4 linked regions of the Anolis sagrei genome follow. The protein of the gene in region 4 purifies or fractionates together with the protein of the main gene of each other region. This does not show direct contact. Links are inferred from orthologs where the notes say so. Each region holds a gene or a part of one and is shown on either strand. Other genes may lie near its edges.

Region 1 (8,060 bases), on a different chromosome or scaffold from region 4:
CTACACAAACTACTTCAAATCCTATTTGTAACTGGATTGATAAGCAAAATTTGCTGAATACATGAAGTTTGTGAGTAAACCAACTATGTTACTTTTAAAGAAGTGTGCATATTTTGTCTCTTGAGAGCATGGTCTCTCGTTCCTCTGCCTTTTCCAAACCCAACTTGTACATCTGGCAACTCTTGCTACATGTATTGCTGGAGTCTACTATGTTACTTTTAAAGAAGTCTGCTTATTTTGTCTCTTGGTAGTATGATTTAAAGGCAAATATATATTTAAGGAAGAATAGATGTTTCTGGGCAACTACAAAAAAAAAAAAAACCACTTCTGAAACTCTGCTATATACATATATGTTTTGTGCATTGGCATATCTTTGTCCCTAACCGTTCAAAGAGATGTTTAGGATATCAGTTTAACAGCTGAGAAACCTAATTGCCTTGCATGAATGCCATTTTCCCAAAAGATTATGGCATCATTATTCAAATGGTTATGACTTCTAACAAGGTCATGCCTTTCCAAAGATCATAAAATCTCCAAAAGGGTAAGGAGATTTCAGTTTTCCAAAATGCATTACCCCACAGGATCCGTGGCCATGATTTGTGTGAATACTTTTTTGCCTGGCTTGTTGTGGTTGCAGGTTCAGCACAGGGATGAAAGTGAATGGTTGAATTGGTATCAAGGCAGGAAGTGGCAGGCAAATTGCTTTTTTGAACTAGGCCTTTCCCTCCTTGCTGCCTCTCCTTCCATCCCAGTGGATAATAGGGTTCTAACTACTTTGCCTTTGCCTTTCAGGCATTTGAATTTGAGTTTTTTCTGCCCTTGGCAATTTTGGCATGAATTTCTCAGCAGAGCATAATGCAGGAATGGGGAAAATCCACCTCATGGGACATATAAGGCCCACAAATTCATTTGGTCTGGCCTGGCACAGAGAAGGACACCTCTCCCAGTCCACTCTCTGTTAAGTTGTATTTCTGGCATTGCAGAGGGATTGGCTGGTGTCAAGATGTTATCGAGCAATTGAGAATGGCTATGGATAGTGAGATCCAAGCCACTGTGAGTTTAGCCTGGTGAGAAAATAAGCCAAAACTCCAGAATGAATCTCACCAAGTTGAAGCAGCTATAAGGCCGTGATTTACATACTGCTTTGTATCTCCTCTCTCTCTTTATGATTGGCTGCCTTTCTCCCGAGGGGGGGGGGGGGGTTAAACCCCCTTCCACATTCCATCATTGCCAAAAGGCAAAAACCCGCAAAACAGCAAGACTGCGAAAAGTGAACTGCAAAGTAGCGAGGGAACACTGTAGTGATATAATATACTAATATTGTGCTATGGTAATAAGTCAGAGCCCCCCATTGATTGTCTTTTTGGGCTCCTCCCTCACAAATACACTTTCCCCCCACTCCTATCTCATCCAGAGTTTTATCATTTTATCTTGTGTATTTGGCCTGCTCATTGTGTTTGACTTTCCATTATGTTACTTTGCATTGCTTATTTTATCTTTTTACATTATGTATTTTATCATGATGTAATTTTTTGTTGTTTTGTATTTTATTTTGCTGTATTGTATTTTTGGGTTTGGCCTCATGTGAGCTGCCCCGAGTCCCCTTTGGGGAGATGGTGGTGGGTATAAATAAAGTTTATTATTATTATTTAAAACACAACAAGATGAGTCCAAAGCAGACAAGGTCACTCTGCTGGCTGTTGTATTGGATCACACCTCGGACACTTCCCAAGTGTCTAGGACTGTGTGATGTATTGGTGAATAATGTGTGCACATCCCAGTAAGGTGGCCTTCTGCAGCTGGCAGGTGGTAATTTTGTCAGCACTTATTGTGTTTAAGTGCAGGCCAGGGTCTTTAGGCACTGCACCCAGTGTGCCGATCACCACTGGAACCACTTTGACTGGCTTATGCCAGTCTTTGCAGTTTGATCTTTAAATCCTCGCATCGTGTCAGCTTTTCCAGTTGTTTCTCTTCAATCCTGCTGTCAACTGGGATTGCAACATCGACAATCCATACTTTGTTTTTTTAACACAATTGTAAAGGTCAGGAGTATTATGCTCCAAAACTCTGTCTGTCTGAACCCGGAAGTCCCAGAGGAGTTTGGCGTGTTCATTCTCTGTAACTTTTTCCGGCTTGTGATCCCACTAGTTCTTTGTTGCAGGCATATGGTATTTGTGGCACAAGTTCCAATGAATCATCTGAGCAACGGTGAGGATGTGATCTATTGTTTCATCTGCTTCCTTGCAGAGTCTACATTTGGGATCTGTTGTCGACTTTTCAATTCTGGCTTTGATGGCATTGGTTCGAATGGCTTGTTCTTGGGCTGCCAGAATCAGACCCTCCATCTTCTTTTTCAAAGTTCCATTTGTGAGCCACAGCCATGTTTTTTCTTTGTCAGTTTGGCTCTCACTTTTTCCCAGGAACTGTCCATGGAGAGCCTTCTTTTGCCAGTTTTCTCTTCTGCTCTGGATTGTGTTTTTACAGTATTCACTCTTTCTCAAAACTCTATCTCAATTCGGAAGTCCCAGAGGAGTTTGATGTGTTAATTTTCTGTAACTTTTTCCTGCTTGTGATCCTACCAGTTCTTTGTCGCAGGCAGATGGTATTTGTGGCACAGGTTCCAGTGAATCATCTGAGCAATGGTGTTATGCCTCTGCTTGTAGTCTGTCTAAGATAATTATTATTACATATTACAAGTAATATGTAAATAATAATAATAAGTTTATTATTATTATTTACATATTACTTGTAAGCCACTTGGAGTCCCTTTCAAGGTGAGAAGGGTGGCATATAAATTTCGTAAATAAATAAAATTAATTAATGGAATAATTTTACAATTTATAATCCAAAGCCATGTCTGGGTTGTTGTAGGTTTTTTTGGGCTATATGGCCATGTTCTAGAAGCATCCTCTCCTGACTTTTCGCCTGCATCTATGGCAAGCATCCTGAGAGGTAGTGAGGTCTGTTGGAACTAGGAAAATGGGTTTACATATCTGTGGAATGACCAGGGTGAGACAAAGGACTTTTGTTTGCTGGGGCTAGATGTGAATGTTTCAGCTGATCACCTTGATTAGCATTCAATGGCTTAGAAGTGCCCGGGGGGAATCCCTTGCTGAGAGTGATTTTATGTGCCTGTTTGTTTCCCCTCTGTTGTTTTGCTGTTGTGATTTTTGAGTCCTTTAATACTGGTAGCCAGATTTTGTTCATTTTCATGGTTTCTTCCTTTCTGTTGAAATTGTCCACATGCTTGTGGACTTCAATGGCTTCTCTGTGTAGTCTGACATGGTGGTTGTGAGAGTGGTCCAGCATTTTTGTGTTCTCAAATAAAATGCTGTGTCCAGGTTGGTTCATCAGGTGCTCTGCTATGGCTGATTTCTCTGGCTGACGTAGTCTGCAGTGCCTTTCATGTTCCTTGATTCTTGTTTGGGTGATGCTGCTTTTGGTGTTCCCGATGTAGACTTGTCCACAGCTGCATGTGGACAAAGCACGTTGGGCGGGGACAAGAGACAGGGCCTTCTCAGTAGTGGCCCCTCGGCTATGGAACACACTCCCTAGGGAAATCTGATCTGCTCCCTCCCTCTTGACGTTTCGGAAGCAAGTTAAAACGTGGCTATTCGAGCAAGCGTTTACAAATACAGAGTAACTAATATAGGAAATCGAATGACCTGACAATGGAATTGGACAATGCTTGAGAATAATGAGACGCTGACGATGTTGCTTTTATTGCTTTTGTGATGTCTTATACTGTTCAATGTTTTTTATATCATGTGTTTTATGTATACTGATTTGTTGGAAACCGCCTTGAGACGGCAATTGGCTGAGAAAGGCGATATACAAATACAGTAAATAAAATAAATAAATAAATAAAGGTATACGGTAGACTCCTGCAGAAGTGTCCTTTGCTGAACGTAGCATTTGTTGGATTTTCTTTGTGGGTCAAAGCCAGGTCCTTTTTCTTTCTCTAGAAAGGAATTTATTTGGCTCGAAAAAGATCTTGGAGTCCTCGTGGACAACAAGTTAAACATGAGCCAACAATGTGATGTGGCGGCAAAAAAAGCCAATGGGATTTTGGCCTACATCAATAGGAGCATAGTGTCTAGATCTAGGGAAGTCATGCTACCCCTCTATTCTGCTTTGGTTAGACCACACCTGGAATATTGTGTCCAATTCTGGGCACCACAATTCAAGAGAGATATTGACAAGCTGGAATGTGTCCAGAGGAGGACAACTAAAATGATCAAGGGCCTGGAGAACAAGCCCTATGAGGAGCGGCTTAAGGAGCTGGGCATGTTTAGCCTGAAGAAGAGAAGGCTGAGAGGAGATATGATAGCCATGTATAAAATATGTGAGAGGAAGCCACAGGGAGGAGGGAGCAAGCTTGTTTGGGAAGCTTGCTTCCCTGGAGACTAGGACGCGGAACAATGACTTCAAACTACAAGAAAGGAGGTTCCATCTGAACATGAGGAAGAACTTCCTGACTGTGAGAGCCGTTCAGCAGTGGTACTCTCTGCCCCGGAGTGTGGTGGAGGCTCCTTCTTTGGAAGCTTTTAAACAGAGGCTGGACGGCCATCTGTCAGGGGTGATTTGAATGCAATATTCCTGCTTCTTGGCAGGGGGTTGGACTGGATGGCCCATGAGGTCTCTTCCAACTCTTTGATTCTATGATTCTATTTTGTTTATTCACATTATGCCATGAATTCATATGGAATTGGCTCCAGGAGCTCAGGCTCTTTGCCGCCGGTCCTCACAAAATGTGGTTGAGCAGGCTGTGTCCTTTTTTCATCCTCGGCTCCTTCCATTGCGTCACTTCTGCAACCAGCCGCCAGATGGCGCTGAGGTGCTCTCATCCAAGATGCTGCGCGACAGAGCTTTGCGTGCGACGTCGGGAGGGCCCGGCTTGGTCGGCGCGAGGGGGAAAGGGGGCGGGGCCCCGAGGCGTGCGTGGTGACGCGCGCGCCCCGCTTGGCCCCGCCCCTTGCCGGAGCGCGGCAGCGGTGGTTGCAGGCTGAGTGGTTGCTGACGGAGGAGGAGGAGGAGGAGGAGGAGGAGAGGCACCTGAGGCGTAGGATCCCTCTCTCGGGCCCTTTCCCCTTCAGGATGTCTTCGGCGCCGGACGCGGCCTCCGGGGACGAGCTGAAGCAAGCCAAGGAGATGGAGGACGCGGAGAAGTACTCCTTCATGTCCACGCTCACCAAGGCGCCCAAGAAGGTGAGCGAGCGAGGGAGGGAGGGAGGGCCGGGATCACCTCAGGCCTCAAAGTCGCGCCCTCTGGAGGGGCCAAGGAACCCCTTCGGGGCAGAGGAACTCTGCACGCGCTCAGGGGAGCACTTGCCTTGGTCAGCACTCGGGGAATAGATAGATAGATAGATAGATAGATAGATAGAGGAGGCGGAGGAGAAAGAGATTTCTGCCCTGTAGAAGGAAATAATGCGGGCTTGACGCCACTTGAACTGCTATGGAATCATGGGAGATGTAGTTTTACAAGTTCTTTAGGGAATCCTAAGAGACCACAATGGCCACAAGCCAACCCCCTGCCGTGTGGGAGAAGCACAATCAAAGCAACCCCGACAGATGGTCATGCAGCAAAGAAGTATCCTTTCATGTCCATACTCACCAAGGTGCCCAAGAAGATGAGGGCGCCTTGTACACTCTGAGCATGTACAGAGTTCCTCTCTCGTCCAGCCACATTTCAAAAGCCATCCAACCTCACTCTGAGACAGAGAGTTCCACTGCTGAACAGCTCTTACAGCAAGTGTGAGCAAACTTTGGCCCTCCGGGTGTTTTGGACTTCAACTCCCACAATTCCTAACAGCCGGTAGGCTCATGCCTGTCTTACACTCAGGAAGTTCTTCCTAATGTTCAGCTGGAATCTCCATTCCTGTCATTTGAATCTATTGCTCCTCTTTCTTTCAAATATTTGAACATGGTTATCCTGTCTCCTTTCAACCTTATCTTCCTCACCAAACTACAACTCCCAGAATTCCAGGGCAGTTTTTTTTTCGTGCCAGGAGCAACTTGCGAAACTGCAAGTCGCTTCTGGTGTGAAAGAATTGGCTGTGTGCAAGGATGTTGCCGAGGGGATGCTGGGATGTTTTACCATCCTGTGGGAGGCATCTTTCATGTCCCCACATGAGAAGCTGGAGCTGATAGACAGGAGCTCGCCCCGCTCCTTGGATCTGAACCGCTGACCTTTCGGTCAGCAGTCCTGCCGGCACAGGGGTTTAATCCATTGCTCCACCGGGGGTTCCTCTCCAGGGCAGTTAAAATGGGGACGCTGAGACATTTTACCATCCTGTGGGAAGCTTCTCTCATATTCTCACAAGAAGCTGGAGCTGACAGACAGGAGCTCACCCCACTCCTTGGATTCGAAACGCAGACCTTTCGGTCAGCAGTCCTGCCAGCACAGGGGTTTAATCCATTGCGCCACCAGGCAGTTAAAATTGTGTTAGACTGCATTAAGTTTACAGATAAATGTGGTGCTGTCTGTCAGGTGTTTTGGCTGAAAGCATCTACACTATAGAATAAATGCAGTTGGGCATTCCTTTAACGACCACAGCTTAGTACTATGGAGTCCTGCGAGTTGTAGTTTGGGAAGGCACTAGAAACATTTGGTAGAGAAGGCTAAATATCTTGTAAAACTACAAGCATTTAGCCATCGTAGTTAAAGTGGTGTCAAACTAAATTTCTTCTGAAGTGTAGATGCATCCCAAGAGAGGTGTTACAGCTCAAAGGGAGTCAGTGTTAAGACACACTTTCCTGGTGTGTCAGGTGAACGGTTCCTTGCTGCCCGAAGCTTAACTGACTCTTAAGATCATTATCCCTGTTCCTCTCTGTGGAAGGTATTTCCGCCTAGATGTCTGTAAAGAGGCCTGGCTAGATGTGATCCAAGCCTTGTAGCTGTCCTGGGTTATGACGATTTCCCTTGATTCATGCCACAGGCTAGGAAGAATGTCGAGGCCAGTGGGCACAGGTGATCCGGAAACCAGGTTTGCTTTCAGACTGCTCTGCAGAAGGAGGTCCTTCCCCTTCCCGTTGGTGCTCTGCCTGTTCTCAGGAATGTGGGTATTTGTGCTGTGGCATGTGAGCCTCTAAGGGCCATTATGCAAGCTATAAAAGTGGGTTGCAGGTTATTCCGTAGCAGTAAGTGTCTTGCGTCTATTGCAGAGACCTGGATGTGCTTCTCTATCAGTAGACGATTGATTTCACTTCTGAATAAGTCTACAAAGTCCCTTGCTTGACTTGTGTGAAGGCTGCACCTGCTAACAGCCTAAAAGGGATCTGTGCTATGAAGAACTTATTCTTAAATCTGCTCTAGCTGGTATCCTTAATCCAAGGTCTTCTCGGGAAAGGGTCTTCTCGGTGGTGGCCCCCCGACTCTGGAACTCACTTCCCAAGGACATCAGACATGGCCCAACTCTGGCAGTCTTTAGGAGGAGCCTGAAAACGTGGTTGTTCCAGTGTGCTTTCCCAGAATAAGGAAAACTCTCAGCAATATGCCCTCAAATGCACTTTACTATGGATTTAGGACTGACTGCGTTCCCTCATCTCTCTTTGAAAAATTTTTATCCCAGTTATATCCTACCTTGGTCATGCCCAGCATTATTTTTTAAATTTTAATTATCACATTTGGCCAAGCCATAGATTTTTTTTAAAATGCTTGTGTGTTACTGTTATTGTTTATTGTTTATTTTTTTGTTTATGTGATTTATATTAATTGTTTTGTATTTATTGTTTTTGTTATTGCTTCTGTTTACTGATGTACTTTGGGCTTGGCCTCATGTAAGCCGCACCGAGTCCCTTGGGGAGATGGTGGCGGGGTATAAATAAAATATTATTATTATTATTCTCTAGATTCTTCCAGTTCTATTTAACATAAATTAATAAACAATTGTTTCTTTGAGTTCTGCCTGGTTTGCTTTCCCCAAAATTACCTTTGTGAGGCCCCATAGTTGTAATAATTGTTGTTAGTGAATCTGAACTCAAGAATTCTGACTTCTAGCCAGATAGATGCAGTCAAAATTCTCCATTTAGATTTATCATAGGACCTCCTTCAGCACAAA
Region 2 (7,923 bases), about 190 Mb from region 4:
AGGTAAAGTCTTTACCATTTTTTCAGGTTTTAATATCATATCTGGGATATATGAGCTCCTGGTGGCGCAGTGGGTTAAACTGCTGAGCTGCTGGCTCCCTGGCGATTCGAATCCAGGGAGCGGGGTGAGCTTCCACTGTCAGCCCCAGCTTCTGCCAACCTCGAAGTTCAAAAACATGCAAATCTGAGTAGAACAATGGGTACCACTCTGGCAGGAAGGTAATGATGCTCTATGCAGTCATGCCAGCCACATGACCTTGGAGGTGTCTATGGACAACGCCGGCTCTTTGGCTTAGAAATGGAGATGAGCACCAGCCCCCAGAGTTGGGGCTACAAAGTGGAGTAAACGTCATGCGAGTGTGGAGAAGAGCACAGAGCACCTAATACAGTGCAACCTGAGCTCTAGGAGCCCCTGGTAGCGCAGTGGGTTAAACCCCTGTGTTGGCAGGACTGAAGACCAACAGGTCGGAGGTTCGAATTCGGGGAGAGCATGGATGAGCTCCCTCTATCAGCTCCAGATCCTCATGCGGGGACATGAGAGAAGCCTCAGATAATGTGGGATTTTATTCAGCTGTGTGGAAGAGGCCTCCACACAGCCCCCCCTGCATGGATGAAGAAAGACAATGCCCAATAAACGAGTCTTCCCTTCAACCCACAATATCTCTCCCTTATGCAGGGCAATGCATAAGGGAGAGATATTTTGATGATAGCTTAAAGGTAAAGGTTTCCCCCTGACATTAAGTCCAGTCGTGTCTGACTCTGGGGGTTGGTGCTCACCTCCATTTCTAAGCCGAAGAGCCGGCGTTATCCGTAGACACCTCCTAGGTCATGTGGCCAGCATGACTGCATGGAGTGCTGTTACCCGCCGGAGCGGTACCTATAGATCTACTCATATTTGCATGTTTTTGAACTGCTAGGTTGGCAGAAGCTGGGGCTAACAGCGGGAGCTCACCCCACTCCCTGGATTCGAATCAGCGACATTTCGATCAGCAAGTTCAGCAGGTCAGCAGTTTAACCCACTGTGCCACCAGAGGTTATATAATCAAAATACGTAGTATATTTTGTATACATAAAATATATAGTGTATGCATGTGTGTGTATATATATATATATATACACAAACACACACATGTATATACTAGCCATTCCCTGCCGCGCATTGCTGTGGCCCAGTCTGTGTATGTTTTGTGTGTGTGTATATGTGTGTGTATATGTTTGTGTATATGTGTGTTTATGTATATATGTGGTTTTGTGCATGTGTTGTAATGTGTTTTTTGTTTTTTAAGGTCTCTTATGCTGTGTTTTTCAGTGTCTTTATGAGTGATGGTCACTTGTTGGCCTGATAGATGTCGTGTCCAAATTTGGTGTCAATTAATGCAGTGGTTTTTGAGTTGTTAATCCCACAAACGAACATTACATTTTTAAAAATATATAGATATATGTTGTTGTTCGGTCGTTTCTGACTTTGTGACCTCATGGACCAGCCCATGCCAGAGCTCCCTGTCGGCCTTCACCACCCCCAGCTCCTTCAAGGTCAATCCAGACACTTCAAGGATACCATCCATCCATCTTGCACTTGGTCGGCCCCTCTTCCTTTTTCCTTCCTTTCCCCCCAGCATAATTGTCTTCTCTAAGCTTTCCTTTCTTCTCATGATGTTGCCAAAATACTTCATCTTGGCCTCTATTATCCTGCCCTCCAATGAGCAGTCAGGCTTTATTTCTTGAAGTAAGGACTGGTTGGACCTTCTCGCGGTCCAAGGCACTCTCAGAATTTTCCTCCAACATAGTTCAAAAGCATCTATCTTCATTCACTCAGCCTTCCCTATGATCCAGCTCTCACGTCTGTAGGTGACTATGGGGAATACCATTGCTTTGACCATGTGGATCTTTGTTGCCAGTGTGATGTCTCTACTCTTCACAATTTTATCAAGATTTGTCATTGCTCTCCTCCCAAGAAGGAAGTGTCTCCTGATTTCCCGGCTGCAGTCTGCATCTGCAGTAATCTTTGCACCTAGAAATACAAAGTCTGTCACTGCCTCCACGTTTTCTCCCTCTATTTCCCAGTTGTCAATCATTCTTCTTGCCATCATATTGGTTTTTTTTATGTTTAGCTGCAACCCAGCTTTGTACATACACTATATATAGATATATATAGTACTAGCTGTCCCCTGCCATGCGTTGCTGTGGCCGTCTGTTGATCTGGAAAATAAAGTAATGAGAAAGTGTTGGTTTCTAATATATGCAATTTCTTTATGCTTGTGGGTAAACAGTATTTCTTGCTGTTTCTTTGTCAGTGTTGATGTGGAGAGTGTCTGGTTTGCCCACCCTGGAACATGCAAGATATCATTGTCCTTCTTTAAGGGTCCCTTTCAAATCTATGATACTATATCTCTGTGTGTGTGTGAATAACATCTCTCTCTCTCTCTCTCTCTCTCTATCTATCTGAGTCCACAGTGCTCTCTGGATCTATCTATCTATCTATTTATCTGTATGGCTGGATGGCTCTTTGTCAGGAGGACTTTGATTACATTTTCTTGCCCTGGAGAAGAGAGTTGGACTGGATGGCCTTAAGTATTTTCTGTTGGTCATGGGGGTTCTGTGTGGGAAGTTTGCGCCATTTCTGTCATTTGTGGGTTTCAAAATGCTCTTTAATTGTAGTGAACTATAAATCCCAGTAACTACAAATTCCAAATGTCAAGGTCTATTTCCTCCAAACTCCATCTGTGTTCATATTTGGGCATATGGAATATTCATGCCAAGTTTGGTCCAGATTCATCATTGTTTGAGTCCACAATGCTCTCTGGATGTTGGTGAACTACAACTCCCAACCTCAAGGTCAATGCCCACCAAACCCAAGGATACCATCCATCCATCTTGTCCTTGGTCGGCCCCTCTTCCTTTTTCTTTCCATTTTCCCCAGCATTTTCTGTTGGTCAAGGGAGTTCTGTGTGCCAAGTTTGGTTCAGTTCCATCATTGGTGGAGTTCAGAATGCTCTTTGATTGTAGGTGAACTATAAATCCCAGTAATTACAACTCCCTATGCTGGGGAAAGTGGAAGGCAAAAGGGCCGACCAAGGGCAAGATGGATGGATGGCATCCTTGAAGTGACTGGACTGACCTTGAAGGAGCTGGGGGTGATGACGGCCGACAAGGAGCTCTGGCGTGGATTGGTCCATGAGGTCACGAAGAATCGGAGACGACTGAACGAATGAACAACAACAATGACAAAATCAATTTTTGAGTGAAGAACATATATTGGGTTATTAGGTGCATTGTGTCCAAATTTGGTGTCAATTCATCCAGTGGTTTTTGAGTTCTATTAATCCCACAAACGGACATTACATTTTTATTTATATAGATAGAAGATTGTATACATACAAAATCTTCAACAGCCAGACAGTGAGTATTTCCCCTGGCAACATGGTTCTGGATTTTTCACCAAATCCTTATAGCAGTGGTTCTCAACCTGGGCCCCCAGATGTTTTGGCCTTCAACTGCCAGAAATCATAACAGCTGGTAAACTGGCTGGGATTTCTGGGAGTTGTAGGCCAAAAACATCTGGGGACCCCAGGTTGAAAACCACTGCCTTATAGCCTATGACTCTGGAGACCAGGGTTTAAATGTCTATGGAAACTCACCGAGTTACTTTGATCAAGTCACACTTTCTCAGCCTTAGAAATCCAAAACCATGCTTCTGGGGAGACAGTTTAAGTGGCTGAGGAGGAAAAAGGAAGGGCCTGAGGCCAGGCCTGTAGCGAGGGGGTGGTTTTAGGTGTTCAAACCCCCCCTGAAATGTTTCAGATTTTTTTTAAAAAAAACCCTGGTTTACTCATGAATTTTGACTGGTTAACCAAATCCCCATGCTAAGTCTATGAGATGCAAAAAATTAAGAGTCCCTCCAGAACTGTAAGCACTATCTGAAGCAAATATTGACAATTTATTCACACTGTCATTACCTGCAGCAATAGTGGATGTAGTGAAGCAACCAAGTTGGGGGGGGGGGGTGTTGAATGCTCTCATTAAGGAGGCCAGACTTGGTGGAGGTGGTTGACAGGGGCGGAGCTGCGGGCTATTGAAGGTTGCTCTGCCCCCTGCTGTGCTCTTTGCTTCAGCATGAGCTAGGAGGCAGGTTTCAACACCCCCAGGGGCGGCTCACCCATTACGCAAAGTAAGCATTTGCAGTATAGTTGATTTAGCCCAGGGGCGCTCTTGAGGCGCTCTTGGGGGAAAATAGACCTTGACATAAGCGAGTTGTAGTTACTGGGATGTATAGTTCACCTAAATCAAAGAGCATTCTGAACTCCACCATTGATGGAACTGAATCAAATATGGCACACAGAACTCCCACAACGAACAGAAAATATATATCAGTGATTGGTTAGGGGGGGGGGGGGGGCTCCAAAATACTGTTTGCTTACTTTGAAAATTACCTAGGGCCGCTTCTGAACACCCCCCCCCGTGAAATTTTCAAACCCCCCCCCCCCAAATTTCAACCCCTCCCGAATTTTTTTTCTGGCTACGGCCCTGCCTGAGGCTGTTAGGAATGGTGGAAGTTGGAAGTCCAAAACACCTGGAGGGAGGGAGGGCCCAAGTTGGCCCAGGCCTGGCCTGGAGTCGGGGGCTCTGCCTACGTGGCAACAAGAGCGCGAGCGCGATAACGGGACCGCCTTCCTTCCTTCCTGGCGCTCGTGACTGCCTTTGGGCGCTTAAGGAGGAAAGGAGGAGCCCCTCGTGACAGTGGGCGGAGCTTATGGAAATTGAGGGGGAAGGGCCTTGCGTTCCCATGACAACGGCGGCGCTGGAGAAAATCCCATTCAGCCGTTCTTCCCCTCCCACTTCTCCCCCCCTCCCTCCTTCGAGGAGCACGTGACCAACATTGGAGTGCTGCTTGCTTGCCGTCAGCTTCCGGGACGAGCCGGATTGTGTCTGTGTGAGGGAAGCAAGGAAGGAAGGAAGGAAGGAACAGCGGGAAGGCGAGGCCCAGGGAGAAAGCAGCGGCAAGGGAAGCGACTCTCACGGGAACATGTCGGCTAACAGTGTCGGCTACAACGACCAGGCCGGGGATGCGCAGGCGGAGGTGGGCCAAGAGGCGACGCCCACCACCGCTTCCTCCTCTTTGCCGGCGGCCTTCGGGCTCTTCAGCAGCGACGGGAAGAAGTAAGTGGCCAAGCGGGAGGGAAGGGAACACACGGGCCATCCAGTCCAACCCCCCTGCCATGCAGGAAAAGCACAATCAAAGAAGCCCCGACAGATAGCCATCCAGCCTCTGCTTAAAAGCCTCCATGGATCCTTCCACCACACTCCGAGGCAGAGAGTTCCACTGCTGAACAGCTCTCTGTTCCACACAGCCCTATATCCCAGAATATCAAGGCAGAAAATCCCACAATATCGCCTTTGAACTGCGTTATCTGAGTCCACATTGCCATATAGTCCAGCCCTATATCCCAGAATATCAAGGCAGAAAATCCCACAATATCGCCTTTGAACTGCGTTATCCGAGTCCACATTGCCATATAGTCCAGTTCATTGCAGATAATGTGGGATTTTATTCATCCCACATTATCTAAATGGTTCTGGCCCGACCTATCTGTCCGAACACATCTCCTCCTATGAACCAGTTAGGACATTAAGATCGTCTGGGGAGGCCCTGCTCTCGGTCCCACCGGCCTCACAAGCACGCCTGGTGGGGACGAGAGACAGGGCCTTCTCAGTAGTGGCCCCCCGGCTGTGGAACACCCTTCCTACAGACATTAGATCGGCCCCCTCCTTATTGGCATTCCGGAAGAGAGTGAAGACCTGGCTCTTTGAACAGGCTTTTAACTAAGCAGTGCCATTGATTGATTACTGGAATATGGATTAATGGACAACGAGATCGGGTGCTGATTCTATTGACGAGACGTGATGGATTGTTGTTTTGCTGTATTGTTGTATTGATGTTTTGATGTTAGCTAATTGATATTACTGTTTTAAATGATTAATGATTTTGTACTGCGTTGTTGATACTGGTTGTTAACCGCTCTGAGTTGCCTGATGGCTGAGAATAGCGGTATACAAGTGAAATAAATAAATAAAATAAATCTGTGTGGAAGTAGCCTCACTGCCAGGAAGTTGTTCCTGATGTTCAAGTGGAATCCCCTTTCCTGCAATTTGAACCCATCGCTCCCTTCCACACAAATGAATAAAATCCCAAATTATCTGCTCTGCACTGTGGGCCCTTCCACACAGCCCTATATCCCAGAATACCAAGGCAAAAAATCCCACATCTGAGTGTGGAGTTAGACAACCCAATTCAAAGCAGATATTGTGGGATTTAGTTCCTTGATATTCTCCCATATAGGGCTATGTAGAAGGGCCCTGTAATATATGGCATTGTGGACTCAGGTAACTAAGGGCCCTTCCACACAGCCATATAACCCAGAATATCAAGGCAGAAAATCCCACATTATCTGAGTGTGGACTTAGATAACCCAATTCAAAGCAGATATTGTGGGATTTAGTGTCTTGATATTCTCCAATATAGGGCAGTGTAGAAGGGCCCTGTAATATATGGCAGTGTGGACTCGGATAACTAAGGGCCATTCCACACAGCCATATAAACCAGAATATCAAGGCAGAAAATCCCACATCATCTGAGTGTTAAAGCAGATATTGTGGGATTCTCTGCCTTGATATTCTGGGGTAGAGGGCTGTGTGGAAGGGCCCATAGGACCCTTCTGCACATTCCTATATCCAGAAAAATCCCACAATATCTGCTTTGAACTGAGTTATCTTAGTCCGCACTCAGATAATGTGGGATTTTCTGCCTTGATATTCTGAGCTGTGTGGAAGGGCCCTTAGTCTCCAGGGTAGCAGAAAATAAGCTCACCCCCCCCCCCTCAATGGACAGTCTTTCAGATGTTTAAACATGGCTGTCATGTCCCCTCTTGGCCTTCTTTTCCCCAAATTAAACATACCCAGCTCCTTCAGCCGCTCCTCGTAGGGCATGGTTTGTATGGGAACACCTTGCACGAGAAGAATATGGAGCCTCCAGTGTTGCAGCGGGTTAAACTGTGGAGCTGCTGAACTTGCTGAACAAAATATCTGTGGTTCAAATCCGGGGAGTGGGGTGAACTCCTGCTGTGAGCCCCAGATTCTGCCAACCTTGTAGTTCGAAAACATGCAAATGTGAGTAGATCAACAGGCAGCACTTTTTCAGGAAGGTAACGGCACTCCATGCAGTCATGCTGGCCACATGTCCTTGGAGGCGTCTTTGGACAATGCCAGCTCTTCGGCTTAGAAATGGAGATGAACATCACCTCCCAGATTCGGACACAACTAGACTTACCTTTACTTTACGAGAAGAATAAGTCGCTCAGGGTGTATTTGTGCTAAACAGTTATATTGATTTGAAGGCCCTTAATTCCATCGCATCAAATCCTGTGATTTGTAATAATTATCTGGCTCCATTTCAAGGCATCCTATGATTTGTAATAAAGGGTCCATCCGCAATGTAGAAGTAATGCAGTTTGACAGCATATCTAAGTGCCCTTGCACAGTGCTATGCAATCCTGGGAGGCCTCTTCCACACAGCTGAATAAAATCACACACTATCTGCATTGAACTGAACTATATGGCAGTGTGGATTCAGATAACCCAGTTCAAAGTAGATATTTTGGGATTTTCTGCCTTGATATTCTGGGATATAGGGCTGTGTGGAACGGCCCTGTGTTGTGACCCTCCTTGAGCCATGGGGAGAGGCGTGTAAGAAATAAAAATTATTATTATTATTATTATTATTATTAATATTATAGGGGGAGGTTATTTTTTTGATGTCATGTTACCGCCCGTTTGTTGTTCCTATATGAAGACTGCTGCATTATTCTTGATTTTTTTCCCCTGTTCCTAAATGACCATCATAGTCAGTTTGTGACCTTATGCACAAGGA
Region 3 (7,380 bases), on a different chromosome or scaffold from region 4:
ATTAAGTGGCATCAAAATGCATTAATTCTACACTGCAGATGCACCCTAGAGCTCTGGGAGACTGTATGGCATCGGGCAAGTCACACACTCAGCCTCAGAGGAAGGCAAACCCTCTCCAAATACTTATTTCCAAGCAAAGTCTGCGTTAAGGTTCACTTAAATTAGGAAGCATCTACGCCATAGAATCAAGTGTAAATCAGGCCTTGGCAAACTTGGGCCCTCCAGGTGTTTTGGACTTCAACTCCCACAGTTCCTAACAGCCTCAGACCCTTTCCTTTTTCCCTCAGCTGCTTGAGCAGAAAGGAAAGAAAGGAAGGGGCCTGAGGCTGTTAGGAATTGTGTGAGTTGAAGACCAAAACACCTGGAGGGCCCAAGTTTGCCCATGCCTGGCGCAGATGCACCGGAGGACAATACTTCCATAGACTCTTACCTCAGCAGTATACTTCCACGCCCTCTACCTCCACCTGGGCCTGTGATGGTCAAGAGCCTACCCTGAGCAGGCCTGAAAAAGGAACACAAACATACACACATAAAATTACTATGATATACAAATAGGTAAAGACACACATATAATTGGTATTACATTATATATAAACCAACACACACAATATAATTATTATCGTATATATACAATTGTTACATTAGTAGTAAGTAGTACCCTGCTTCCTTGTTATAAAGAAGAATCGGGCCCCTTTGCACAATTGAAGCTTGTGCGCCAGCTGCGACCGTACCTCGTGAAGTCAGATCTGGCCTTAACTCACCTCCTGATTGGATTATTGCAATGCGCTCTACGTGGGGCTGCCCTTGAAGACGGCCTGGAAATTTCATTTGGTCCAACGGGCAGCAGCCAGATTGGTAACTGGAGCAAATTACAGGGAGTGGTCAACCCTCCTATTTAAAGAGCTCCACTGGCTGCCGTTCATTTTCCGGTCTCAATTCAAAGTGCAGGTCCTTATCTACAAAGCCCTGGACAGTTTGGGACCTGCCTACCTGCATTTCCATTCACAAACTCATGCAATCTCTTTGATTGTCCAGAGAGGCCCTTCTCTCGCTCCTGCCCCCTTCGCAGGTGCGACTGGTGGGGACGAGGGAGAGGGCCTTTTCAGTGGTGACCCCTCGACACTGAAATTCGCTCCCTAAGGATATTAGGCAAGCCCCCATATTGGCAGTCTTTAGGAGGAGCTTGAAAACTTGGTTGTTCCAATGTGCCTTCCCTGAATGAAAGAGCAATAATTCCCTGATCTGACCAATTCCCTGCAAAAGGTCCTCTGAAGCACTTTATTCTACCTGTTGGGCAATCAATCCTACCTCACCCTCTAAAACAGGGGCCCTCAAACTTTTTAAACAGAGGGCCAGGTCACAGTCTTTCAAACTGTTGGAGGGCCGGATTATAATTTGAAAAAAAACGAATGAATTCCTATGCACACCGCACATATTTATTTATTTCGTATACTTCTACCCCGCCCTTCTCAACCCCCGAGGGAGACTCAGGGCGGCTTACAAAATGGCACAATTCGATGCCTACACAATAATACAATAAATGTATAAAAACAGCAGTTAAGCAGTTAAACAATTAAAACAACTATATATATCACAATCAATAGCCAATCTCAAGCACAGCGTTCACCAACTCAGAGTCCATACTTCGTTCCACATTGTCTATTCCTATCCGTCATCACAGTCCTTTATTTATCTGCCAGAGTGCCCAAACGCCTGGTCCCACGTCCATGTTTTTAATTTCTTTCTAAAGGAGGGATGTCGCTGATCTAATTTCCCCGGGGAGTGAATTCCAGATGAGGGGCCACCACTGAGAAGGCACTGAGAAGGACATATCCTATTTGTAGTGCAAAAAACACTTAAAAACAATACAATCATCAAAATGAAGAACAATTTTAACAAATATAAGCTTATTAGTATTTTAATGGGAAGTGTGGGCCTGCTTTTGCCTGATGAGATAGGATTGTTGTTGTTGTAGTCATTTCAGACTTAGGTTGACCCTGTGCAAGGGCCGGGTAAATGACCTTGGAGGGCCGTATCCGGCCCCCGGGCCTTAGTTTGAGGAACCCTGCTCTAAAACCTCTATTCAGACTTATTTTATTGCTGCCACGCCCAGTGTTTTAAATTTTAAATCTATTAGAATAGGCCCTGCCCTCAGTGTAGGATTTTTGTGTTTTTAAGTGCTGTGTTTTATTGCTGATATGTTATTTATTATGGTTTTGTATTGTAGTTTTATTTTATTGCTGTATTGGTTTATACGGATGCATTGTATTGTCGGGCCTGGCCTCATGTAAGCCGCCCTGAGTCCCTTGGGGAGATAGTGGCGGGGTATAAATAAAGATTATTATTATTATTATTATTATTATTATTATCTACACTGCCATATAGTAGTTTCTGAATGCAGCTGAGCCGAACACAGAAACCGCAGTGTAGATTCACATAATCCGGTTTAAAGTGATTAATCTGGATTATATGGAAGTTCCTCACTGAGGGCCTTTCCACACAGCCCTATTTCCCAGTATCATCATCTACACTGCCATATAATAGTTTGTGAATGCAGCTGAACCGAACCGCAGTGTAGATTCACATAATCCGGTTTAAAGTGGTTAATCTGGATTATATGGCAGTTCCTTACTGAGGGCCCTTCCACACAGCCCTATATCCCAGAATATCAAGGCAGAAAATCCCACAATATCTGCTTTGAACTGGGTTATCCGAGTCCACACTCAGATAATGCGGGATTTCCTGCCTTGCTGTTTCTGGCTGTGTGGAAGGGCCCTGAAAAAGCACCCTTGGGCTGGTTCCCTCACCTCGCATCGTTGGGGTCCCGCCCCGTGAGCTTGCGGATGTTCTCGTCGACGTGCTTGAGGCTCTCCTTGGCCTTCTCGAGCTGCTCCTGCAGGGCCCGCACGGCCACCGCCATCTCGCCTGATACTACTACTCCTAGTACCAGGACAGGCGCGGCCTACCCTGCCTGGGCCCAGCAGAAAGCGCGGTCGGGTAAGCGAAGAGCTGGGGAGCAGAGGGGGAAGTTACCCCGCCTACACGTGTAACGTGGCTCCCTCAAAGAATCCACCAATCGGGAACCAGCACATTAAAACGACATCACGTTTGTCCAATCGGTACTCGGAATCTCTCACGAGTCGCCCGCCTCTGAGATTGAGCGGCAGCTCGGTGCACCAATCAAGTTTCCCGTTTCTGCCACTCAACGGTTCACGTTGGTGGAGTGACGTCGCTTTCAGCCACTTAGAAAGAATCCTGTTGGGTTCCTTCTGCCAATCGCTAAGTACCAGAGTTGAATGACACAATAAGCAGCCAACCGAATGGCAAGCGGCACAACCATATGGCCAATCCGTGCTTGGAGGTAGGTTCTCTCTCTGTATTATATTCCCCGCCCTACTATTTTCGCGCCTCTGTGGGTTAGGAGGCGTTCTTGAGTGCAAGGGGCGGGGCTAAGGCATTTCTGAGAAAGGAATGTGGAGGCTAACCAGTGAATTTAAGAGCATAAGACACAATAAAATCAAACAATATATTTAATCCCAGTAATCTCTGTTCTTTTACTGACTGATTACCCTAATTGCACCATATCTTGGTTGATCTTGGAGATTGAGGTTAAGCAGGGTCAGCCCTAGTTAGTGTCTGAATGGGAGACCACCAATAAATACCAGGTGCTCAGGGTCAGTGGTTCCCAAACCTTTTCCATAGAACTACAACACAACACATAATTGGTTTAATCAAAATATATTCTGAATCATTTACGCGATTTGAGATATGCCTCCCAATTTCCTATTTGGTACCTTGTTTTTGAGTAAATTTTATTGTGACATTTTCTAAATATTATCCCAATATCTTTTATCTCAAAACTATAGAAGAAATAAAAAAATCAATGTGGGATCAACATGACAAATTGACTATAGATGAGTCACTCTTATAAAATGCTGAAATGTGTATGAGGTAACTACCTAAGGTTACAGGTTCGAATTCGAGGAGCGGTGTGAGCTTCCGCTGTCCGCCCCAGCTTCTGTCAACCTAGCAGTTTGAAAACATGCAAATGTGAATAGATTAATAGGGAAGGTAATGGTGCTCCATGCAATCATGCAGGCCACATGACCTTGGAGGTGTCTACGGACAATGCCGGCTCTTCGACTTAGAAATGGGAGATGAGCACCAACTCCAGAGTCAGACACGACTGGACTTAATGTCAGGGGAAAACCTTTACCTTTTTTTTACCTAATACAAATAGCTGTAGCACAAAATAGCTACTACATAGACTGTAAATCAATCGGTGACTTCAGAGATGTATATACACTGTAGAATTAATGCGGTTTGACACTATTTTGGCTGCTATAACTCAAAGCTAGGGAATCATGGAAGTTGTGGGCCTTTTTGCCTAATCCTAAATAAACGATCACCAGATAAGAATCTGATTTTGCAAGTAATTGTGTCTTAAACTCATACACTGCTGCTCTTCCAGCATTCAGTCATGCCATATACTGTGTACTGACAGTCTCTAATCTAATTATCAACCTAGGGATCATAACCAGATACAGTGAAGACATCTGTCCTTGCGCTTTGCTACTCTGCTGCTGAATACGCATGTCCAGTATGGAATACATCTCACCATGTTCAAGCAGTAGATGTCTTAATGAGACATGCCACATTATCACAGGAAGTCTATGCCCAACACTGCTGGAGAATTATACTGTTTAGCCGGTATTGCATCACCTGATATTTATTTATTTCAGATATTTGTACCCTGCCCTTCTCAACCTCCCCCCCCCCGCCCCCCCCCCCCCCCCGGGGAAGTAACAGCCAGTAATAAAAGGAACAAGGCATTGGCATCTCAGGCCCATCCTCTGTTTGGATATCAGCCAGCATGCCAATGTCTTAAATCAAGAAACAGCTTTCAAAGATCTACAGAGATATTTGCAGGAACACCTCAGCAAGCGGAGTCCAAAAGTACCAGGCTAAAACACGGGACATCAATCAGTGGTTGATACCAGATGAGAAACTCCCTCCTGGGCACACAGAAGACTGGGCGACTTGGAAGGCGCTGAAAAGACTGCACTTCGGCATCATGAGATGCAACACCAACCTTAAGAAATGTTGCTACAGGGTGGAGTCCACAACATGGGAGTGTGGAGAAGAGCAAACCACAGACCACTTACTACAATGCAGTCTGAGTACTGCCACATGCACAATGGAGGACCTTCTCACAGCGACATTAGAGGCACTCCAATGGCCAGCTTCTGGTCAAAGGACATTTAGCATAATGCCAAGGGTTTTTTTAACTTTGTATTTTTAAATGCATATTAAATGCACAACCTTTTCACACTTGAGGCACTTGAAGTGGCCAGCTTCTGGTCAAAGGAAATCTAGCATAATGCTAAGTTTTAAACTTTGTTTTTTTTAAACTTTGTGTATTCTCAATTTGCTTCTGACACGATAAATACATCTGATTATCGGATAGTTGTGTATTTCCCTAGAGTTAACCTAGTAGGACTCTGACTCAATAAAACTTACTCTACTGATTTGTGGTGGTGCAAGTTTTTTATTTATTTGCTGCAACAGATTTCAAATTGGTAGATTTATGGAAATTATGTAGTTGATGTTGTTGTCTGAAGCTGGGGCTCCTAAAAATGTTGAGGTTCAGAAATGACCTGTAGTTACTCCGCTGAGCTTCCGAAGCCAGAAAAAGACTCTTAGCTGGGCAACATTGACAAACCCCCTTATTTTCCCACCACCTGATCAACTCACAGAAAGCTGAAGCCAAAGATTATGTAAGGATTATGTAGGTAAGTGCAGGGCGTGCTCCTATCCCACTCCGAGAAAGTCAAACCCATCATTTTGGAATAACAATCCATGTATTGTTCAATCAAGAAAACCTTCCCCTCTGCCAGCTGATACCAATCAGCAAACATTGTTTCCCCAAAATAATCCCTTTCCAGGCTGATGAGCTCCTTCAGGCAGAAGGGGGTGGCTGGCGTGTTTACAGAAGACCAGCTCCAGAATTCCTCAAATTAAAAGGTTTATCAAGTTTCCCGCCATACTATATACCAATCGCAAACTGTAAACCTTGCAACCATTTATATACTTTTGAAGCAATAAGACTGTGGATTGTAATTTGTATTGATCACCCTAAATGTCTATACCAGGGGTCCCCAAACTAAAGCCCATGGACTGGATGCAAAACAAACTTCAGCCTTCCAGAGGTTTTGGACTTCAACTCCCACCATTCCTAATAACACCAGGCCTTTTCCTTTTCCAAGTGACTGAGGAGAAAAAAAGGAAAGGCCCAGAGGCTGTTAGGAATGGTGGGAGTTGAAGTCCAAAACAGCTGGAGGGAAGGCCATAGTCTTCTTGACTATGGAGGCATGAGCTGTGGCAGTCAGAGTGGTCAGGCTGCATTCATTCTACAGTGTAGACCAGGCCTGGGCAAACTAGGGCCCTCCCTCCAGGGTTTTTGGACTTCAATTCCCACCATTCCCAACAGCCTCAGGCCCCTTTTGAGGGCCTGGGCAAACTTGGGCCCTCCCTCCAGGGTTTTGGACTCCAATTCCCACCATTCCCAAAAGCCTCAGCACCCCTCTGAGGGCCTGGGGTTTTTGGACTTCAATTCCCACCATTCCCAACAGCCTCAGGCCCCTTCTGAAGGCCTGGAGGTTTTGGACTTCAATTCCCACCATTCCCAACAACCTCAGGCCCCTTCTGAGGGCCTGGGCAAACTTGGGCCCTCCCTCCAGGGTTTTTGGACTTCAATTCCCATAATTCCCAACAGCCTCAGGCTCCTTCTGAGGGCCTGGGCAAACTTGGACTCCAGGGTTTTGGACTCCAATTTCCACCATTCCCAAAAGCCTCAGGCCCCCTCTGAGGGCCTGGGGTTTTTGGACTTCAATTCCCACCATTCCCAACAACCTCAGGCCTCTTCTGAGGGCCTGGGCAAACTTGGGCCCTCCCTCCAGGGTTTTTGGACTTCAATTCCCACCATTCCCAACAGCCTCAGGCCGCTTCTGAGGGGAAAAAGGAAAGGGCCTGAGGCTGTTAGGAATGGTGGGAACTGAAGTCCAAAACCCTTGGAGGGAGGGCCCAAGTTGGCCCAGGCCTGCTTAGCAGCTCCTCCTCCTCCTGCCGGGCCTTCGGGAGGCGCTGGGCTTGGAGGAGGAGAAGGAAGGCGGGGAGGAAGCGTCGCGGCGGAGGAGCGGGCCTTGCGTCTCCCAGGGAGGCCCGGCATGAACAAGGCGGAGATGGCGGACGAGGCCCTCTTCCTGCTGCTCCACAACGAGATGGTGGCGGGCCTCTACCGCGCCGCCGAGCAGGGAGACGGGGTGAGTCAGTCCCGCATGAGACCCATCTCCCTTCGGCCTGGCTACACCGCTTTCACTG
Region 4 (7,283 bases):
TTTGAGAGCTAACAGCAATGTGATCCAGCTCTTGGAACCTAAGCTGCGCTGATTAAGTGCAAATTGATTTTGTAAACACTCTCTGCTTCCCCCTTCCCGGCAGAGGAAGTGTGTTGGAGTGATTTCCGAATTTGTTAACAGGTACTAAAACACACACTCACACAAGCTGCGGGCCTATGGATTAAACGTGGGATTTTTTGCACTTTGATTGATCTGCTGTCTGGCTCTGAACTGATCTGTTCACTAAATGAATACATTGTATCTCTATGTCTGTGCCACTGTGAAATGGGGGGGGGGGTGATACATTTTCCTTGGCTAGTTAATTCTAGGCCCCCAAAATCTCTCTTCCTGCGGAAAAAAAACCTGTGCATATGGGAGAAAACACTAATAAGGGGCTCAGAAGCAATTTCAGTAGCTTCCTGGTACGTTGTCTCAATCCTTTCCAATCCTAGGAGTTTCACCTGGGATGAATCTAAACTGTAAAATTAATGCCATTTGATACCACTTAGAATCACAGAGTTGGAAGAGACCTCATGGGCCATTCAGTCCAACCCCCTGCCAAGAAGCAGGAAATAACACTCAAAGCAGTAAAATCTCATTCGAAGCATCCCCGACAGATGGCCATCCAGATTCTGTTTAAAAGCCTCCAAAGAAGGAGCCTCCACCACTGCTGTGGCTAGATGCTATGGAAACATGGGATTTATAACTTGAGGAGGGATAAGCACTGTTTGGCAGGGTTAAAGTCCTTGTAAAACTATAGCTTTGATGATCCCACGGCATTGAGCCAGGGCAGTTAAAGTGATGTCAAAGTGCATTAATTCTAGTGTATAGCAGGAGTGAGCAAACTCTGGCCCTCCGGGTGTTTTGGACTTCAACTCTCACAATTCCTTATTGTGGGAGTTGAAGTCCAAAACTCCTGGAGGGCCAAAGTTTGCCCATGGTGTAGATGCTCCTCAGATGTTTGAGGAGAGAGCAGTCTTCCCTCCCCTCCCCAGATGCTTTCTCCCATCCTGGACATTCAACAGATATATAAATCTCACTTGCCTAGTTTCCAACAGACCTCTCAAGATCTGAAGATGCCTGCCATAGGTGTGGGTGAAACGTCAGGAGAGAATGCTTCTGGAACATGGCCATACAGCCCGGAAAACTCATAGCAACCCAGTCCTACCTCCTAAGCGGGATGGAGCTTCCCTGCTGCTCTTTCCTCACAGATGAGCTCCAAAACTGTGGCCTGCGTGGCCCCTCACCCAGAGCCCACTCAGTAAAGTAGTCACAGAGGAACAGGCACAGGCACGGCTAGCAAGGCAATGCAAGACAGCTCTACCTACAGGACTCCTGTTACAAGACTGAGAAGGCAGCATTTCCGTCCAAGCACCAAACACGTCCCATTCCTCACCTATAGATCCCACTCTCCAAATGCATGAGAGGCCAGGCCTTTGGCAGCACCCCTCCCTCCTTTCCTCCCCTCCTTGCCCCTCAGGGGCCTCCTCAGCCTGGATCTGAACTGAAGCATGCGGTTCCTCTGTCTCCTCTCCTCCCGCGCCCACCTCGGCCGCCACCAAACCAGCAATTAAGACAGCATCTTTCGCAGTGACATTTCGGGGTTGTCATGGTAATGAGAGTGCGAGTTGAAAGGCGGGGAAGTACTGGGGTTGGGTTGGGGGGGGGGAGAAGAAGGGAAGGAAGGAAATCAAAGTGCAGGAGCTGCAAAGTTGGTTGGGGAAGGGGACTGTGGCGGGTCCTCAGATAACTCGGGGCACAGAGTCAGGCCAGTGGAGGGCAGAGCACCCTCTTTCCTGTAACACAGACATGGGCCAACGTGGGCCCTCCAGGTATTTTGGACTTCAACTCCCACCATTCCTAACAGACTCAGGCCCCTTCCTTTCCCCCCTCAGCCGCTTAAGCGGCTGAGGGGGAAAAGGAAGGGGCCTGAGGCTGTTAGGAATGATAGAAGTCGAAGTCCAAAACATCTGGAAGGCCAAAGCTTGCCCATTCCTGCTCGAACACTACCTAATACAGGCCCAGAATCCACATCTTCCACCAAGTCAGGGCGGAGTGGCCTATGTTCCAGGTCAATGCAATCGTTGTGGGGGAAGTTCTTCTTCTGAACCATGCCCACCTTTGATTCAAATCCCTTGATGGTTTCGCCCACGAATGAATCCCCCAGGGGTTCATCATCAAAGCTTGAGGGCAAGGGACGCGTGTTCTATGTTGGAGCCCGTCGTCCACTTTGTCACTATTTGTTTGTTTATTGATGAAGCGCCGCGGGAAGGGAAGAGGGGGGCGCTGCGGAGTGGAGCCTGTGGGGAGGCTGCCAGGTGCGGCGGAGTTGACTGTGCGGAGACTCTCCTCCAAACGAGAGCCGCACTGCTCTGTCCTCTCGGTGGCTGGACGGATGAAGCGCCCGGTAGAGCCCAGCCCGCTCTTGGAGGGTCAAAGGCGAGACGGGCCTTTGCAGACCAACTTGGGCGCCTTTCCGGCCCTCGACAGACTTCGCAACCTCCCAGGATGCCTGCCCTAGATGCAGGCGAAACGTCAGGAGAGAATGCTTCTGGGACGTGGCCATACAGCCCGACAAACTCACAGCAACCCAGTGAACACGCGTTGAAGGCGCGCCCCTTTCTTCCACAGAGGCGCGCGGGTGCCTGAGGGGAGGCAGCCGGCGAATGAAGTCCCCAATTCCCTCACACCCGCCGCCCAAAACCCACAGGTTGCCGCTTTTTCCGAAAGCGCCGCGGCAACTTCGCCAAAGCGACACGCTTCCCGCCCTCTTCCCTCGCGAATTCCCCTTCCACTGCCGCGGTCTCGAGAGAGAGAGTCCCCGGACGGAAGGCAAGCGCGAGACGGCCCCCACGGCCCCCACCCCGCGAGCGCACGAGCGCGCTCGCCCCGCTAAAACGCCCGCTTCCTCCCGCGCGCTGCCCGAGGCTCACCTGCAGCGCTGCTCCACCGGTGGAAGGACTGGGCTGGGCTGGGCTGGGCTGGGCTGAGGGGCGCGAGGGGCCCTGGGCTGCCCTCCTCCTTAGTCTCGCCGCGGACCCCGCGCTTCCCGTCCGAGGCCTGCCTGGGGGTCGGCGGAGGGAGGCGTGGCGTCCGAGGCGGGAGACGGAGCCGAGCGGCCGGGCTGCTCCGCGGCTCCGCGCAAGTTGAGCATCTCAGTGGAGTTGCGAGAGGGAAAGTTAGGCAGGAGAGGCGGCGCAAGGGGCCGCCCAGGAGGGGCGTGGCCAGCCCGCCTCACGTCACCGGGAACTTTTAGCCCCGCCCACCGCCTGGGCCAGCTGAGTCACACGTTGAGCATCCTCAGCCGGGATTCGGGAGGTTTGGTCCACCACGTGGGACGCCTTTGCCCTCGGCTGGGACGCCAACTTTGTTTCAATCACAACATCATTTTAATTCAATGGATTTCGAGCATAATGTTGTATGTGTTTAAAGCATTATTTATTTATTAATCGTATCAGGAGCGAAACAATGTATTTGTTTGTTGTTCATTCATTCAGTCGTCTCCAACTCTTCGTGACCTCATGGACCAGCCGTCATCACCCCCAGCTCCTTCAAGGTCAGTCCAGTCACTTCAAGGATGCCATCCCTGTATTAGAGAAAACACAAAATTTAAAAATGTCCTTTGACCAGTAGTTGGACACTTGGAGTGCCTCTGGTGTTAGGTCCTCCATTGTACATGTGCCAGGGCCCAGGTTGCATTGCAGTAGGTGGTCTGTGGTTTGCTCTTCTCCACAGTCACATGTCGCGGACTCCACTCTGTAGCCCCATTTCTTAAGGTTGGCTCTGCATCTCATGGTTTATTTATTTATAGTGTCAGGAGCAACCAGACATTTGTATTACATTTTTAACAAAACAAACAAACAGACAAAACACAAAGTTTGCAAGCTTGGTAGTTGATTCAATGTCCTTTGACCAGTATCTGGCCACTTGGAATGCCTCTGGTGTTGCTGCAAGAAGGTCCTTCATTGTGCATATGCCAGGGCACAGGTTGTATTATAATAGGTGGTCAGTGGTTTGCTCTTCTCCACACTCACATGTCGTGGATTCCACTTTGCAGCCCCATTTCTTAAGGTTGGCTCTGTAGCTCGTGGTGCCAGAGTGCAGTCTGTTCAGTGCCTTCCAAGTCGCCCAGTCTTCTGTGTGCCCAGGAGGGAGTCTCTCATTTGGTATCAGCCATCGATTGAGGTTCTGTGTTTGAGCCTGCCACTTTTGGACTCTCACTTGCTGAGGTGTTCCAGCGAGTGTCTCTGTAGATCTTAGAAAACTATTTTTTGATTTAAGTTGTTGGAGTGCTGGCTGATGTCCAAACAGGGGGTGGGCCGGAGGTGTCACTGCCTAGGTCCTTTCATTATTGGCTGCTACTTCCCTCTGGATGTTAGGTAATGCAATACCGACTAGACTGTAATTTCTCTAGTGGTGTAGTGTGCAGACAGCCTGTGATAATGCGGCATATCTCATTAAGAGCCACATCTACTGTTTTAGCGTGGTGAGATGTGTTCCACACTAGGCATGCATACTCAGCAGCAGAGTAGCATAGCGCAAGGGCAGATATCTTCACTGTATCTGGTTGTGATCCCCAGGTTGTGCCAGTCAGCTTTTGTATGATATTGTTTCTAGTGCTCACTTTTTGCTTGATATTCAGGCAGTGCTTCTTGTAGGTCAGAGCTCGGTCCAGAGTGACTCCCAGATATTTAGGTGTGTTGCAATACTCCAGTGGGATTCCTTCCCAGGTAATCCTAGAGCTTGAGATGCTTCTCAATGTTTAAGGCATTGAATAATTGTCATATGTAAGCCCCCTGGGGTAGAGAAAGGTGGGGTATAAACAGGGTAAATAAATAAATAAATAAACAGCATTATTAAAAAATATTGGGCATGAAATTTCTAACAGGCTGTGTGTATATCAAACAGGAATGAATTTGGGTTCCTGCACAAACTTTGTTTCATGCACAAAAGTATTACATACTGTGTACAAAATTACTTCTAGGGTATGTATATATGAGCCCCTGGTGGCGCAGTGGGTTAAAGCGCTGAGCTGCTGAACTTGCTGACCAAAAGGTCAGTGGTTCAAATCTGGAGAGTGGGGTGAGCTCCCACTTTTAGCCCCAGCTTCTGTCAATCTAGCAATTTGAAAACATGCAAATGTGAATAGATCAATAGGTACCACTTTGGGGGGAAGGTAGCAGTGCTCCATGCAGTCATGTCGGCCACATGACCTAGGAGGCATCTATGGGCAACACCGGCTCTTTGGCTTAGAAATGGAGATGGGCATCACCTTTCAGAGTCGGACGCGACTTGACTTAATGTCAAGGGGAAACCTTTACCTTTATATATGGAACAAATGGATTTTATTTCACTCACAAACTTTGTTTTATACTCAAAAACTGTTTAAATATTGTGCATGAAATGACTTTCAAGGTATGTGTGTATGAAACATAAATGGGTTTTGTGTTTAGCCTTGGGTCCCATTCCCAAAAGATCTCATTGTGTATTTGTGAGTACATAAAACATCCAACTTAGAGTATTCTAAAACCGCAGTGCAGAATTCCTCAAAGAATAAGAACAAATATGCCACTTTCCTGCACATAGACTGTGTGTCAGTCTGGTTCTATATTGCCTTCTTTATTTTGTTGTGAGGGAATCAATGATAGAGCATCATATTTAATCATAGAATCATAGAGTTGGAAGAGACCTTGTGGGTCATCTAGTCCAACACCCTGCCACGAAGCAGGAAAATCGCATTCAAAGCACCCCTGACAGATGGCCATCCAGCCTCTGCTCAAAAGCCTCCTAAGAAGGAGCCTCCACCACACTCCTTCCTTCTTGGTGGCCTACAGAGAGTCCCAGAACCATGAAAATTGATGCAATTGTTGTCAGTCCCTATTTTAGATTAACAACCTGTTGAATAACTTCCAGCGTGATTTCTCTGTCCAGCCAGAGGCTAATGCAAGAGGAATAGATGAATACCATAGTTCTCTTCTTCTCTCCTTAATAGCTCACTTCTTCAATGTATACAAGGCCATGGCTAAGGATGCAGTGACTTGAAATATTTTGAATTTGAAATATCATGGCTTAGCTGTAAGATCATGGTCATGGGGTTCACAGCATATCTCAGAGGGACACTGTTCATTGTAGAGTGCTTTCCATGCCCAAAGCCCCAGGTCTGGCCCAATGTATTTGGCTGCCTAAGGCAAAGGGCACTCTGCTTCTCCATTGTACTTTTAAGTGGTGGCTTGTGTTCTCCTAAATGGTGGACTGGCTTATGCTGTTGTTCTGTGAGCCAGTGCCTGGTAGGTTTCCTGGAAAGAACATAAAATAAAAAGTTACAGATGACACCATGTAACACGATGTTTGTTCCTGGGTTATAAACATTATTTCCTAATTGGTTCTATCATAAAACAAGGAAAAAGTTTATTAAACTGCAAAAATTCTGTGGGACACCCTGCAGCACATTTTGCTATGGCTTTTCAATGAATAACTCATAGAGTCTCAACCAATTCAACCTAGTTTGTGGCAGCCAAAAAAAAAAGTTTCTTGAGTATAACAGCTACTTTCAAAGTAAATACTGCACAATTAAACAGGAAATAACACTTTCAAACCAGGAACATTTTTTCCAAATTTTGTTACATAGTATAATGGGTACAAATATATTACAAAAGCATATTGGGAAAAACATAAATTGCCAGACCTCCAGATAGTTTGGAAAGGCATTGAGCTACATAGCTGTTAAGTCCTATTCAGTACTGGTGACAGGACAACATCCATGTTACCAGATTGTTTTTTGTTTATTTACATATGCCAAGCAAGCTGCATATTATTCAAAACTCTATCTTCTAGCAAAGGGGAACAGTGATGGAGGTGCTACCTTTGCTTCCTCCACACTATCTGTATTTTTGCCCAAAGCTGGTATGGCAACCGCCATTATGGTAGGGTTAGCCATTAATTCTTTGTAAGTTGCACAGCATTTCTTGAAGCGATAACAGGATCAGTGTCTCGGGTTTAACCACAGGTGTCATTGTAATTGGGATGTGACCAGTGCTGAGACTATTGTATATAGGTTGGAGTAACCCTAGGTTAGTTTGATGAGAGTTTAATGAGGGAATGAGTTTGATGGATTGTAAGAGAAGAGAGTTTGTTGTGCATACTGTGTTAGTATTTGTACTGTTTGTACTATTGCTGCAACTGAAGAAAGAAAAGCCTTCCAGTTGAAAAGAACAGCTTTGTGTCTGTGTTGTTCTTGTGTTCCTGAGGAGACATAAGAACCAAATTAGGGAGCCAAATACCTT

Evidence for each region.
Region 1: the proteins of CAMKV (region 4) and AHCYL1 purify together in Homo sapiens (affinity purification with mass spectrometry; 3 studies listed by BioGRID and IntAct, counting the BioPlex papers as one, with this or other methods). This does not show direct contact. The link is inferred for Anolis sagrei from reciprocal best matches to the Homo sapiens genes CAMKV and AHCYL1.
Region 2: the proteins of CAMKV (region 4) and AP3B1 purify together in Homo sapiens (affinity purification with mass spectrometry; 3 studies listed by BioGRID and IntAct, counting the BioPlex papers as one, with this or other methods). This does not show direct contact. The link is inferred for Anolis sagrei from reciprocal best matches to the Homo sapiens genes CAMKV and AP3B1.
Region 3: the proteins of CAMKV (region 4) and PNN purify together in Homo sapiens (affinity purification with mass spectrometry; 3 studies listed by BioGRID and IntAct, counting the BioPlex papers as one, with this or other methods). This does not show direct contact. The link is inferred for Anolis sagrei from reciprocal best matches to the Homo sapiens genes CAMKV and PNN.

What each region holds. Positions count from the first base shown.
Region 1 is NC_090024.1:183,980,773-183,988,832, reverse strand, and holds the start of AHCYL1 (S-adenosylhomocysteine hydrolase-like protein 1), read left to right. Parts: upstream 1-4,960; 5' UTR 4,961-5,097; coding exon 5,098-5,208; intron 5,209-8,060. UniProt on the Homo sapiens protein: Multifaceted cellular regulator which coordinates several essential cellular functions including regulation of epithelial HCO3(-) and fluid secretion, mRNA processing and DNA replication.
Region 2 is NC_090022.1:265,418,308-265,426,230, reverse strand, and holds the start of AP3B1 (AP-3 complex subunit beta-1), read left to right. Parts: upstream 1-4,806; 5' UTR 4,807-5,022; coding exon 5,023-5,156; intron 5,157-7,923. UniProt on the Homo sapiens protein: Subunit of non-clathrin- and clathrin-associated adaptor protein complex 3 (AP-3) that plays a role in protein sorting in the late-Golgi/trans-Golgi network (TGN) and/or endosomes.
Region 3 is NC_090021.1:303,574,999-303,582,378, reverse strand, and holds the start of PNN (pinin), read right to left. Parts: upstream 3,046-7,380; 5' UTR 2,921-3,045; coding exon 2,808-2,920; intron 503-2,807; coding exon 431-502; intron 1-430. Other genes in the region: TRAPPC6B (trafficking protein particle complex subunit 6B), read left to right, coding at 7,227-7,322. UniProt on the Homo sapiens protein: Transcriptional activator binding to the E-box 1 core sequence of the E-cadherin promoter gene; the core-binding sequence is 5'CAGGTG-3'. Capable of reversing CTBP1-mediated transcription repression.
Region 4 is NC_090022.1:75,026,910-75,034,192, reverse strand, and holds the start of CAMKV (caM kinase-like vesicle-associated protein), read right to left. Parts: upstream 3,212-7,283; 5' UTR 2,934-3,211; intron 1-2,933. UniProt on the Homo sapiens protein: Does not appear to have detectable kinase activity.